Drosophila melanogaster: one gene and its partners. The protein of the gene in region 1 interacts with the protein of each later gene in a pairwise test. Each region holds a gene or a part of one and is shown in the gene's direction. Other genes may lie near its edges.

Region 1 (4,861 bases):
CATTGTATTTCATTCTCACTAGGTTATTTAACATAAATAAGTTCAAAACTTACATTAAATAATAATTTGAATAAATATCAAATGAGAAGAGCGTTTTATCTTGTATTCAATTTTGTGTGTGGACCCTTATTATTTATATGACTAATATGACTTATTAATTACTATTATGAAACAGTTGATTTATTTTATTTAAAGCCGATGAACGGAATTAGTTTTAGTAAAAGTTCATCATCCTTGAGTAGTTTGTTGAACTAATGAATTCGCAGACTAATTTGGATGGATATCGATTAATGTAAATTCGTCTACAATAAGTAGTAACAATTATAATACGGTACAAAAACAATTATAACCACAGAATCTATTTCCTATCTAATTAACAAGTTAATTGACGAAGCACCTGATGTTTGATATTGGCAAATATTGAGCATATAGTCACTAATTGGTGATCAAGTGAAATGGGCCTGAGGTATAAGTCGTGCACATAAAATATAGATAAACTCCCATTTAGGTGAGTGTGCCAACCAATTTGGAGGTCACAACAACGACCGTCCTAATGCTCGATGATGAGGTACAGTCGAGCCTGTGTATGTCAAACTTAAGCCGTATATGAAAATAGGATTTATGTGTTATTATAAACGAGTCTTCATAAGCCAGTCCATATCGAAGAGTTCAATATTGATGAAAGCCCAATGTCAATTTATAGAAGCTCCACTGTAGCTGCTGTGGGCACTGAGGAAGGGGAACTGACAGTGGGGCAGATGGCGGCCTGTAATATACTCCTGCCTCCATATCCTTGTGCCGCGTGCACTTGACATTGGCTTTCGAATCGGGTCTGTCGCGGCATTCATGCGCGGCGCACTGGCAGGGGGTTGGGGGTTCCGGGGGCGGAAGGTGCAGCTTTGCCCTGGTAATGGCATAATCGACCCCCTTTCTGGCCCCTTTTCGTTGCGGGGGCTGGCCACGTGCCGTTCTCATTCGGCCGTTTCTGGTTTTCCTGTTTTTCCTGCTGCTGCTGCACTTGCAACAGCAGCCAAAAAACCTTGACATTAAGCAGCGTCGTCGACGAGGCACAAAATCCTGCAATTGTGTGGAAATCGTCCTGCAAAAAAGGCGCTGTACTTGAGCTGTCCAAGCCACATATTTGTGCTTCGAAAAAACCGGGTTCCTTTAAATTGACATTATTACCAATTTTTGATTATTTTCACAGGCATAAAGCCAATATTAAAAATAAAAATCATTGCAATAACCCACTTCTAAACTTCAATACCAATATAGTTGGCTAGAAGAAATTACCTGTCTATATTATTACACATATTGATATATGTATATTTCAGATATATTTCTGATGAATACGACCATCTTAGACAATAGCAATTCGTTAAATATTTGATATCTATATCTTGTTCCTATGACAACTCAGATTAATTACTGGACGTATACGTTCATACTTATGCATATGTAAAGTTCGCAATAATCAATCAAAATGTGCTCCTAAATCGTTTGTGCGCCATCAATTAGTCGGCAGTTATTTTCGGTGACCCCGACATACGAGTGAGTGTAATTGAAATACATGGATGTTCGGTTGCCACAATTGCAATTGAATGCTACAGTTGTTGCTGTTGCCCTGACAAAAGCATAATAACAAAAACACAGATGTTCCGTCAGCAGGTTGCATTTCGAAGAGAGCAGCGGGAGAGGGAAACTCTCTCTTCTCGCGTCGTGCGCAGTGCGCAGGACGTGCAGCACGGCAACACTGGCCATGGAAGTGCGACAAATGTGTGCGGTGGAAGTCCGTTTGTTTATTCGCTTGCGGAACGCGTTTCTCGACGGTTGGTTCGGTCGCAAAGCGGAAGTGCTGGCGCAACGTGCAACATCCGGCGGCAAAGCAGCAAAATGCCAACACAATAAAATCAAAAAGGAACCTGTAAACACACACCTCCAAAGATATATAGTTAAATCATAAAAAAAAATTTACAAAATTATAAATATATAAAAAGTATAGCCGAAATTAGTGTGCGCTTGTTGATCAAATCAAGAATTAAAATAGTATATTGAAAATAATCAAAAATTGTCAAGTGCTTTTCGAAAGTATAAATATCTTAATTAAAACCGTGTTAGACCCCCATTTCGAAATCGATTACAAAGGGTCGAAAAGTTTGTGAAACCGATTCGTAAGTGCCCAAAGAAGTAAAACCCCCTCCGCCAACCTTTCACCTTTCTTTGTGTGCCACATTCTCCTTATGTGTGCCGGTGTGAGTGTTTATGTATGTTAATTAAATTACCGTTATGTGTGCTTACCACAGCAACACACTTACACACAAAAACCAGCTCTATCGCAGTAATTATAAAAAAAACAAAAGAAAAACAAGAATAATACAAAAAACAACAATTACAAAGGCCACTGAAAATCCATTTCCCATTTCCTTGGGCTCCCCCCCCCCGCATTTCCTCTCTACTTTCCCCACTCATCATCGCATGTTTTGCCCGCCCTGACACTTGGGGCATATTTCTGTGTTAACTGGGCTGTGCGTGTGTTTATTACTGCGACTACGGCCATTGGCACGTACATCGGACGGAGTACCCTCAATTCGACGCCCATGTCCTTGCCATGTGCCCTCCTCATACACGCCCCTGCTGGGCACTACTCACAGTTATTAAGCGTCTTATGGCAACTCTCAAAGCGGCCCATAAGTATGCTATAGTTTTTGCTATTCTGCTGAAGAGTTAACTCAGGAATACTTGGAGAAAATTGTAGTACATGAATACATTACATGATAAATATATAAAATAAAATATTTTCATAATCTTTTAAATGGGCAACAACAATAAATTCGCATAAAATAAACCACTATGAATTGTAATGTTCAAAATTTCTGTTGTACTGCAATAAAAAAGAGATTTTAGGTTTTAATGTATGGGCAACTTAATTCGGTACTGGCATTAACCTATCAAAGAGTGTGACGTTTCTCTTCGTGTAGGAGCAGCAGGTGCATTTCACTCAGAATTTCAGGTGATAGCAGTGAGCTTCTGACCAGAAATCAATAGAAAATCAAGCTTTACGCTTATGGATCTAGTTGGGGGTTAGTCAGTCGCCTGCTGCAGCCATATACATACGTCGTTATTGCCCTTTGTTACATTTACCATTTGAGCCACTTTTATGTTCGGCCCTTTGCACATCAAATTGATGATAAATTGCAAATTGCGACCATAAAATCCCCAGAGAGTTATTGAAAAATTTCAGCGAAGAGGTCGTAAGGAACCGATGAAAAGGTATAGCATTTCATATTTATGGTATTTCCTGCCAGCATTTCATTTCAATATTAGGAAAGCAATAGGTATAAAAATGCTCGTGTAGATTAATAAATGTTTTGGAGAAAACCTACCTTGAATGCGAGTACTTTTTTAATTGGCATTAATATTATAAAATACATATTTATTCAAAAGAAATTTATTTTTTCTTTGAGCTAAAGAATCGATCAGTGTGACAACTTATTTTACAAGTTGTTTAAGCTTATTAGTTAAGAAAACCCAATTTTATAGTTTGACAAATGACATTGGCCACCAAATTGCGATTTGCTGTACAGTTTTCCAGCCAGTTTCTTGCACTTTCAAATGTTTGATCTATGCAATCCATCGTTGCAGGGCAAGTTAGACTGAAAGCTTTTTGGAGTCATTATCCCGTATTTCAATTAAGGGCGAAAAAAATTCGCGCTCCACACATAGAACACCAAATTGTACGCTGGCGATGGTCTGGCTCAATTAAACGACAGCGAGTCCTTCGCTGGTCGGAGTTGAGAGGACGAATTCAGAGGATTTCCCGGTATAAGGGATACGGGTGGTGACATCTTCAAATGGCACATGCCCGTATGCAAATTGCGCCATAATCTCCACTGAGCGTTGGGCATTGAGTCGTCGCCTATTGATTATCAGTTTTGCATACTAATATGCCCAAGTTGGCAGTGCATTGAAATCGAGCCAAATAAAGTGACAAGCTCCGTGTCCCACTGTTTGTTTCTGCCCGTCCCTGTCGCTCCTATCGCCTCTTTCGTCCCTTTCGCACGTTTGCCATGGCAGCTGTCAGGGGGGGGGGGGGGTTCCCCTCGCTTGAATGTGTGCGATGTGTCCGGGCTTAAGTAGCTTTATGTGTCTGGATGTGTGAGTTTTGTGTGGTTATAACATTTTTTTTTGTTTTTCGCTTTTCTCGGTTTTCGATTTTCACCACGGTATTTCCACGAAAAGTTGTTTTTCCTTTCGATTCTGCTTTTTTGCTGGCATTTTTTGCTTAACCTTATCGAGTGAACTACAAAAACGAAGAAAAATAGTAACTACAAAATATTTAGATACAGTATAGGTGGTCATTTCTTCATATAGAAAATAGGGCTATTTTACATCTATCTGAACTTGAGTTTAAAGGATATTTTTCGAAAAAAAAAGCTATTTAAAGTTTCTTTCCCCTTACTTAATGTTTGTTGAGAAGTGTCGTCAACGGTGCCATTGTTTTATTATCACTCCGTAGTTCCCTTTTTTTTAGGTGGGTTCTATCACATTACGTATACGCATTTAGTTCCAATTTTTGCCTCTCGTTCCGTGGGCTTCGCTTTATTTTTATCGCCTTGCGTGTGTAAGCGAGTTTTGCTTGTGCCTTAGTGTGTTACTGTGTTTGCATTGCCAGTGGCGGCCTTTTTTTTGCTTCCGCTTTTCCTCGACTGTTTTCCACTTGCTTGTGTATTTCCGCTGTAGTCATAATGGGAAACAGCTGATAGTACACGCCCCCTCACATCGTCCCCTAATCGAGCCCTTTTCTCCAGGGACACAAACAGAGGGCGGAGCGGCCATAAAAGAGTTCTGTTAATGGGCGTGT
Region 2 (4,609 bases), on another chromosome or scaffold:
TCAGACTCATAGTCAGACGTGTATTCGTTTGCATTCTGAAAGACTTTATATGAATTTGATTCGATATCCTAGGCATCTAGTGGGCGGCCACATTAAATTCAATCGGTGTAGCACACAAGTGATTGAAACATGTGTAAATTTTACTGTCAATAGTCTCAGACAATTTTCGTAACGCGCCGCTAAAATGCCCGAAAAACCATCAGCAAAGTCGGCTCCGAGGCCCCTGACCAGCATAAAGGGGACCAGGCCCTCCACATCCTCATCCAATCCCACCACCAGCAGGAGCAAACCCACAGGAACTGGAGTGGTTCGACCACCATTGCCAAATGCACACGATAGGGTAAGATTTTTTAGATTTTTTGCAAATGAGAATATAATCGATGAATTAATCACTACATCCTAATGTTTGGATTCGATTCGACTAATTGAATTACAAACACCTATGCATGAGTAATTGAATCCCCTCTTTTCATTATACGTTATAAAAATGGTGGCAACTGAATAACAATAACAATATCTTTATGAATAATTGCTTTTTCAATAATGAGAAATGTACAGCTGTTTTTAACTCAGCTATTTCGATAACAAGAAAGTTGAATATATTAACTGTTGAAAATTTTACAGATTTGGAAGATTATGAAGATGTAATAATATCTAAAAATATTCGGTAAGTTATTAAAATTTGAATAACTGTTGACTTATGATTTTATGATTTCAGGTCCCCAAATTGGATCCACGTTTTAAATCCTGATATTCTTTTTTTATAAAATGTACGGATTCTTTGACGTCTAAAGCGCTGAATAAAGCGAATAAATCCCAAAAGGGAAATTACTCTTATAATTTCTTGATAAGCTGACTGGAAGTTGGAATAAGCGCAGGCGCTTGTCCTCGCAGAGAAGAGAGTAGTGTTTGAGCTTGTTGGGAAATTTTCTCTTTAAGGGGTACTTTTCATCTCAGTTTGCCTGAAGCTGGCTTTGAGTCTTAAAAAAATATTTAAGTCAATAAGAGTGTTAACTGGTATTATTTTTACTATAAGGGGCTTATTAAAAACGTCAAGAAACTTGTCCGCTGTCCTTTTTATGGATACTTAAGACGTACAAAAAGTTGCTGAATAACTTTAGATAAATAGGATGGTTTTAAAATGATTAGTGGGTTCATAGCTTGAAGAAGGATAGTTCTTGGTCACATTGGTACCAGCAAAGATAAAAAAACGTCAATAATACAAACATTTGATAAACATAATGGAGATATTTCATTCGTAAATAAAACTGTAACTCAACTTATGGACAGTTCTCTATTTAAAATCATCCTGCAGGACGAGAATGTAAAATTGCTTGGGATAGGCCTACCTTGGCAGTTCCTTAAATGCAATTTAAACCAAAACAAACTCAAGCTGCCGATACACTCTCTTCGCCGAGCTCGTGCCATTTTTACTTTCATTCGGTAATTGAGTGAAAACGAGGTTGGTCCTCCGAGGGACCTCTTCGCGCGACGAGCGCAAAAGTCCCCGAGATGGAATCGACCGAGCCAAAGGATATTTTGGTGCTCGGCAGCGTTTTTGCCAATGCCGTGGCTCAGTTTCGTATTCGTGTCGGAACGTGGCGCTACGGTCTTCTGCTCAACGATACGCGAAAATCCAATCCGCTGGAGGAGCAAAACGCGGCGCGTGGAACCCACAAAACAAGCAAGCAAGCCAAACGAAAAAGGAAGCTAAAGCACAACTCATTCGGTCGAGTGTGCCTGTGTGAGAGTGTGTGAGTGCCGGAATATCTGTGTGAGTGGATCGGTCCTGTGTTGTTTGGGCCATTTAATTTTATTAGCGCTCCGCGATGCGTCATTAAAATTGCAGGCAAAACACAGAAATACAATGAATGAAAAATTAAATATTAATTAAAATTTGCATACGAATCGAGCGGCGAGCGCTGCGATTCCGCTGATTGAAATGTTAAATAGATATTAAAAATTGATGGTGTATTTCGGTCACATTTCGTTCGTCGGTCATTCTGCCGGAAAAGTCAGACTGAGCCGTGGCCCCTACAATTCATACATATACACACATCCTTACAATTATGTGTATTGGCATCTTGGCCATCGGGAGTGCGTGTATATGACTTTATTAAACTTGTAAGTCCCCAACTCGCGCGACCTTTTGCACATTGTTTGTGGACTTTGCGAGTGCTCCAGATTTGCCAACCATTTGTTGGTGCACTTATCGCGATTGCCGCACGGATTGCTTCACCTGCAACCTGCAACCTGCCACCTGCACCTGCCACCAACATTCTGCACCCTGCCGCGTCCTCGAAAAGTGCGTATGGAACTGCAAGTTAATTAAGTATTTGACTCTGCATATGACAAATCCCGGTTTAAGCGAAAAGCGACTTTAATTCGCAATTCGAAACGGGTTTCGTTAATGTTTATCGTCTTGTTCTCGATTAAATCGGCTGTCGCGGGCGTAATATATTCATGGAATCCTTCTGCGTGCTGCACTTAATAGCATTTAACTGGCAATTAATTGCCTTGAGCTCAGCCACCCACTGGTCAAGGAATCGATGTATTTGTTTCGTCAGCAGAACACCAATACATTTTTAATGTGTTATTATGGACATTTTTCAATTAAAATTCCCAAGCGAATAGGGTTATTAGCAAAACAAATGAATACAAATATTTCCGAAGCCCATTATACAATGGGAAATTGAAGACAAAGTTAAAAATTATATACATTCGTTAAAGGCATTTCCCGTATTCCTTTTTGAATAAAATTCGCTCGAACAAAGGAAAACTTCTCAGTGCCAAATCAAAATAAAAATGATAAAGCATTGTGCAGATTTGTACCAGCATTTGACCGAAATTTATGGCCGCCTCCTGCACAAAGTGGTTTAAGCCAGTTAGCCCGGCCATGAAAGCTGCTTACAACAAGCCAAAGAGTACGCCAAAAACCGGGCTCAGATAGGCCCAAGGACAGACAATCGGCAAGTGGGCTTATTTGCAAGGGCCGGGCTAAGCATTTTGGCCAGACAGCCGGCATCTGCACTTACCTATCTGCGGCAGCAGCACGTTTTATAATATTTATGCATGTCCCTGCCAACAGGAGATGTGCACTCATAGTTAGGGGGTTGAGGGTTTCGAGAAGCAGGGGGATTTCCGTGCCAGGACTTTAGGGGTTCATGAGCTGAAAAATAAACTCGACGGGTAGCGTGGATCTGGAGTGTGTGTAGAGGCACTCTGACATTTGCCAAAAGTAACACTCCACTCTCAAGTGGGCCAGGACATCCAATGGGATGCATATCCGAGTGGTAGGCGCATCCGAGAATTACATTTAAAATTATTTTACTTGGCAGGGGCTAGGGCAAACAAACCAACACAAACACAAGCACATCAACAAATACAAATACAGATACAGGAAAAACAGAAGCCGGGCAACAGATGCCTCAACAACAAAATTAACGAAATAAAAACAAGCCAAGAAAAACAAAACAAGTGCAGCCAGAGAAACACGCACAATACGTTTTTTTTTAGTGGATGTGGAATGGAATTAACCCATTTAGAAACTCGCTTCCACATTCGGGGGCATTTTCCTTACTTTTTCTGTAAGCATTATTTGCAACCTTTATTTGTTTTGGAAAAATGTACCAAATTTTATATTTATTACATAGTGAATGCAAATGTTGCTACTAATTTATGAAAGCACAATGCAAATGGGTGTTCTAAGCCTTAAACAGTTCTAGATGGTCTATTAATTTTCAAATTTCCGTTATAATGGAATAATATTTGCTTAAATGATGGCGATAGGTTTTCCCAGATCCTGAGTAAATAACGGGTTAACTGCGAATGGCTGGCAGAAAGCCGAACGAACATCTCGACGCCCACTTGGCTGCTTGGTCGTTTACACAAGCTCAACATTTCTGACAGTGGCACTCGCAAAACGAGGAACATGTGGAGCAGCTGTGGAAAAAGATTGATTCTTCGCTGCTCGGGAACGCAGAAAAAAGGACCAAGTGCCTAAGCAACAGCGAGCCCCTGGGTCCTTGACTTTTCCTTTGAACTATTGCAGTGGCCGAGACCGTTTGTTTTGCTTATTCCCCATTTGTTGCTTGCTTACAGCTGTCCGAATTTATTACGGCCAAAACAAATCGGTAAACTTTCTATGCCGACTTGCAGCAACTTTCACGTACTGAGGCTTTCCCTGTGCACTTGCTCCTGCCTTCGCATTCGTGTTGGCCTTTTGTCATAAAGCTTAACACATAAAAATGTTATTGTCCGATGTGGAGTTGTGTGGCTTATGCTGATTTGTGTTGACCTAGTGAGCTTCCAAGGCAACGGAAGAGAATCGGGCTCAGAATCGGAATGAAGTATGGACGTTTTATGATCGTAAGGCTGATTTAGGATTCCCAAGTGAAAGCTTTAAGGACTAGAAGCAAAAGCGATGCGAGTAGGACGCCGAAAGGCGTTGCATATCCGGGCACCAATTATTGGAATGCTCGTAAAATTCCGGCTTACATAGAGAAAATGTAGGAAAATGTGTCTGGTATAGCTCTACCTACAAATTTAAAGTAACTTATTCCATTCGGTTGGGTTTATGGAATTTGATGAACCAGCTTTCAAAGAAGCC
Region 3 (3,616 bases), on another chromosome or scaffold:
GCCCAACACAAATTATATTGGTAACAATAAATAACATTTGGAGCTACTTGAAATCAGCAAATTCACATGTACAAGCCACTCCAAAAATAGCACCAAATATGTATGTGCCTAAATCACTGATATTAACATTTAGTTTGAAACCCCATTTCTTCCTTGCAACCCCCGATGCTTCTTTTTAGATGAATTCTTAATTATGAGTAAATATATCTTCATGAATACAATTGTTCAAATGCTCTTTGTGAGTACATTCCTTGGAATTCGTTATAAGTGCAACGTAAACAATATTTAAAGAATACCCGGTGGTCGGTCCTATTGGGCATTCTAAGCTGCAGAAGTGTAAAAAGGGTTGGTTTTATTGCTCACCTGGTGTTAATTGTTGCGGCAACAGGTAGTTCTTCTGGTGGAGTAGACTGGTGAACTGGACTGCCGATAAGAAGGAGGCCACGCGCAGAGTTTGAGTTTGGGCAATAGCAATATCGAAATGTAATAAACCAAATACCAGAAAGGCAATTACTCGTTCACTTTCGATTCGATCGGCCGATAAGGAATTTTACAGGGAAAACACGATGTCAACACGTTTAAACAAAGAACAAACGCACTTATTTTCTGTTTGCGCTTAACAAAAAAACAAAAACCCAAATACGAGGATATTTTTTTTTTCGTTTAGTATTTATATCTACTTTGATTCGTTGTTGTTTTTCACGTTTTATGTGTTTGTTTTTGTCCCGCTTGCTCTTTTTTGGGGCGCCTTTCTCGCTCTTGTCCGCTTTAACCGGTTTTTTGGTTTATGTTTATGCTGCTGCTTCTACTGCTGCTGTTGTTGCTGTTTTTGTTTCCCTTGCTCTTGCTTGGCTAAATGGAAAATATGCTGCAATTGCAGCCAGCAAATTGTCGAATGTTTCCAGCCACTTGCTTTGCTACTCGAAATCGATGCCAAAAACTTTAATAACACCCGCGATTGAGGTAAACAAAAGTGTAATAAGCGAAGTGAGGCACACACGCAGGCGCAGAAAAGCAAAAAGGTGAAGAAATATTGGCCGCCAAACAGGTGCAAATGATTCACGATTGTTTTTCCACAATCCACTGTTTATGTTACGATGCTATATCTCCTCAGTTTTCCGCACTGCGACTTGGGGATTTTCTTTGGCTTGGCGAGCGCTTTCCGCGCGGCGATTCGTTTAATTCGAGCGTCTTGTTTGCGATTGAACACCTGTTGCGCGTTCGATTTTCATAAAACTAACTGTGTGACCGTCGGGCGTTAGTTGAAATAAACCATAGCAAGCGTATCCAACCAGGTCTGGCAGCACTGCTGTAAATGTTTAGTTGTAGGCATTTTATAACACTGCACATGAGGCGATTGCACATAAAATATCGAGTTAAGTTTTTCTTCAAGTAGTTTGTTCTTCTGTCTGATGTTAAAAAATTGTTTTTACTTTCGTGCACAGCTCATCCAGCATATGAAATCTAGCTATAGTTTGTCAAACAACATTACTTTAGCAGCAATCGATAGGCGTGCACTTAGATTGAACATTCTATCGCTGCCGTTCCATCACTAATAGACAACATTGTGACGACATTGCTATTTTTGTGTGTTTTGAGTTTCACCACGGCGGAAAATAATGTCGGACCTTTCTTACCTGGACACGTTGGGCAACAAGGAGCTGCTGGCCAAGTGCCTGGAGCACGGCCTGCCCGGTGTTCCCGTGACGGACAGCACCCGCAGCGTCATAATTCGCCGACTAAAGGCCAAAATCACCGGGGTTCCGCTGAACAAAAGCAAATCTGCAAGTAAGAAAGCGATTCCGAGGCGTGAGACCGTACACGGCAGCCAGGTAACGACGCCCACATCGGAGCCAGTGCGTCGTACGCCCGGCAAGAGTGCAGGACGCACTAGCAGCAACAACAACAAGATCAGCGAACAAAGTCGTCGCACAATCGCCTATGGACTAGACAACACCTCGATCTCGGGAAGATCTGTGCAGACTACTACCACGGTGTCGGATATGAGCTCCCAGTCGGAGGACGACGACTCCTACATGGTGGACTCTCCGGTGCCTAATTACTCCAAGGACCAGCAGCCTAGACGTTATGTTTCTCTAGCCAAATCCGGAGTTTTGACCACATCTTACACACGCGAAGTTGACCAGCCGCTGTACGAACAGGAGGATATACCACGCAGCTACACCTACGAAAGACCCCATGTGCCAGCCGCCACTCTTCACGCACTTCCCACATACGAGCCACGCATCGAACCTTCGACATACAGACCCACAGATTTGGGTTTTTCGCGTCCCCTGCTGACTCAAACCAACTTAAACTCAACCAGCTACGAGGAGTCATCTACGTACAATCCAAAACTTTCACCCATTTCGCCAAGAAACACTTTCAGCGGATCCGCTAGGCCTTTTGGTGGCCCAGCACCAGCTCCAGCACCCATTCGCCAGCGACAGAGTGTTCCAGTTAGTGGATCCAATCTGGCCCGTGGTCGCCTGCTCCAGCCGACCACCGCAGTAAACACTCTATATCCACAACTAAATGAATTCTACGATCAGCCGAATGACGCAGGCGAACCCATGGAGACGGAGAGCGAGTCCGAAGTCGAGGAAGTACCCATCAATAGCCATTTCCAAAAGAATCGCTTCTCGCCGCTGGCTAGAAAACCTCTGGTAAGACACCACGATCAGGTTTCGCCTATGGCGCAGTTCCGTGCACTGGCGGTGTCATTGGATCAAAAATATAATCTCAAATTCTACTTAATATTGGTAGTGTCAGTGATGCTGGCCACCATGGTGTACGTGGTATTGACACCCAACGCCTGAGAAGCGTTCATATCGCGGAATACATTTGGTTTTGGTTACTCCACGCATTTCAACCACAGACTACAGCGAAGGAATATTTATGACGACTTTGCACCTTAAGACTACTACTTCAATTCCAAACATGTTCAAAACTAACAAATATTCAACTCAATTTGCCAAGTCTTTAATTGCTTGTTCTCGCATATTGTTTCTTTTTATACATAATTAGAAAAATGTACTACATTATAATTATTGTATTGTATTAAATAAACTAATTAAATGTAAGTGCTCAGTGTGTTTTGTTGCGATTTGTGTTTGTTTGTGGTACTCTCTGACAACGGACCATGGGTTTATTTATGCTTTATGCTACTATTTACACGCCATTTAAATGAACAAAACAGTGTAAAATCGTTAAAGGATATCGGGGATCGCGGCTAGGACATCACAAAGCAAATGGCTGCTGGCTGACTAATTGAAGTGGAACTTGAACTGGAACGGCGACCCGTGTTGGAAGTGTCCAAACGGATGTTCGCCATGGAAGCCGCCACGCTGATTGCTCTCAGGATCTAATGGATCCTCGCCGTTGTCGAATTGACGACGCTTCTCGGGATCCGTGAGAACCTCCTTGGCTGCGGCAATGTCAATAAACTTTTTCTCGGCCACCTTCTTTTCCTCGTCGCGGAAGTTGTCCGGATGCCACTTTTGCGCCGCCTTCCTGTAGGCCTTCACAATCTCCTGTTTGCTGGCGCTACGCTTAACGCCTAATATCTTATAGTAATCCCTGCGCTCTGACTGCTTCTGCAGCTTCTTTGCCCTCT

Evidence for each region. Proteins that work in one complex are often made in the same cells at the same time.
Region 2: the proteins of CG33144 (region 1) and side-III interact in a two-hybrid assay, tested with the Drosophila melanogaster proteins (one large-scale study listed by BioGRID).
Region 3: the proteins of CG33144 (region 1) and bocks interact in a two-hybrid assay, tested with the Drosophila melanogaster proteins (one large-scale study listed by BioGRID).

Annotation. Positions count from the first base shown.
Region 1 is NT_033778.4:10,795,650-10,800,510, reverse strand, and holds the start of CG33144 (uncharacterized protein), read left to right. Parts: upstream 1-1,801; 5' UTR 1,802-2,171; intron 2,172-4,861.
Region 2 is NT_033777.3:5,956,521-5,961,129, reverse strand, and holds the start of side-III (sidestep III), read left to right. Parts: upstream 1-1,574; 5' UTR 1,575-2,305; intron 2,306-4,609. Other genes in the region: CG11373 (uncharacterized protein), read left to right, coding at 185-340, 625-648.
Region 3 is NT_033777.3:9,588,933-9,592,548, reverse strand, and holds bocks (bocksbeutel), read left to right. Parts: upstream 1-1,546; 5' UTR 1,547-1,619; coding exon 1,620-2,819; 3' UTR 2,820-3,081; downstream 3,082-3,616. Other genes in the region: P58IPK, read right to left, coding at 3,267-3,616. UniProt on the Drosophila melanogaster protein: Inner nuclear membrane protein. May have a role in maintaining the structural integrity of the nuclear lamina. During pupal development, plays essential and redundant functions with the other LEM domain proteins; MAN1 and Ote.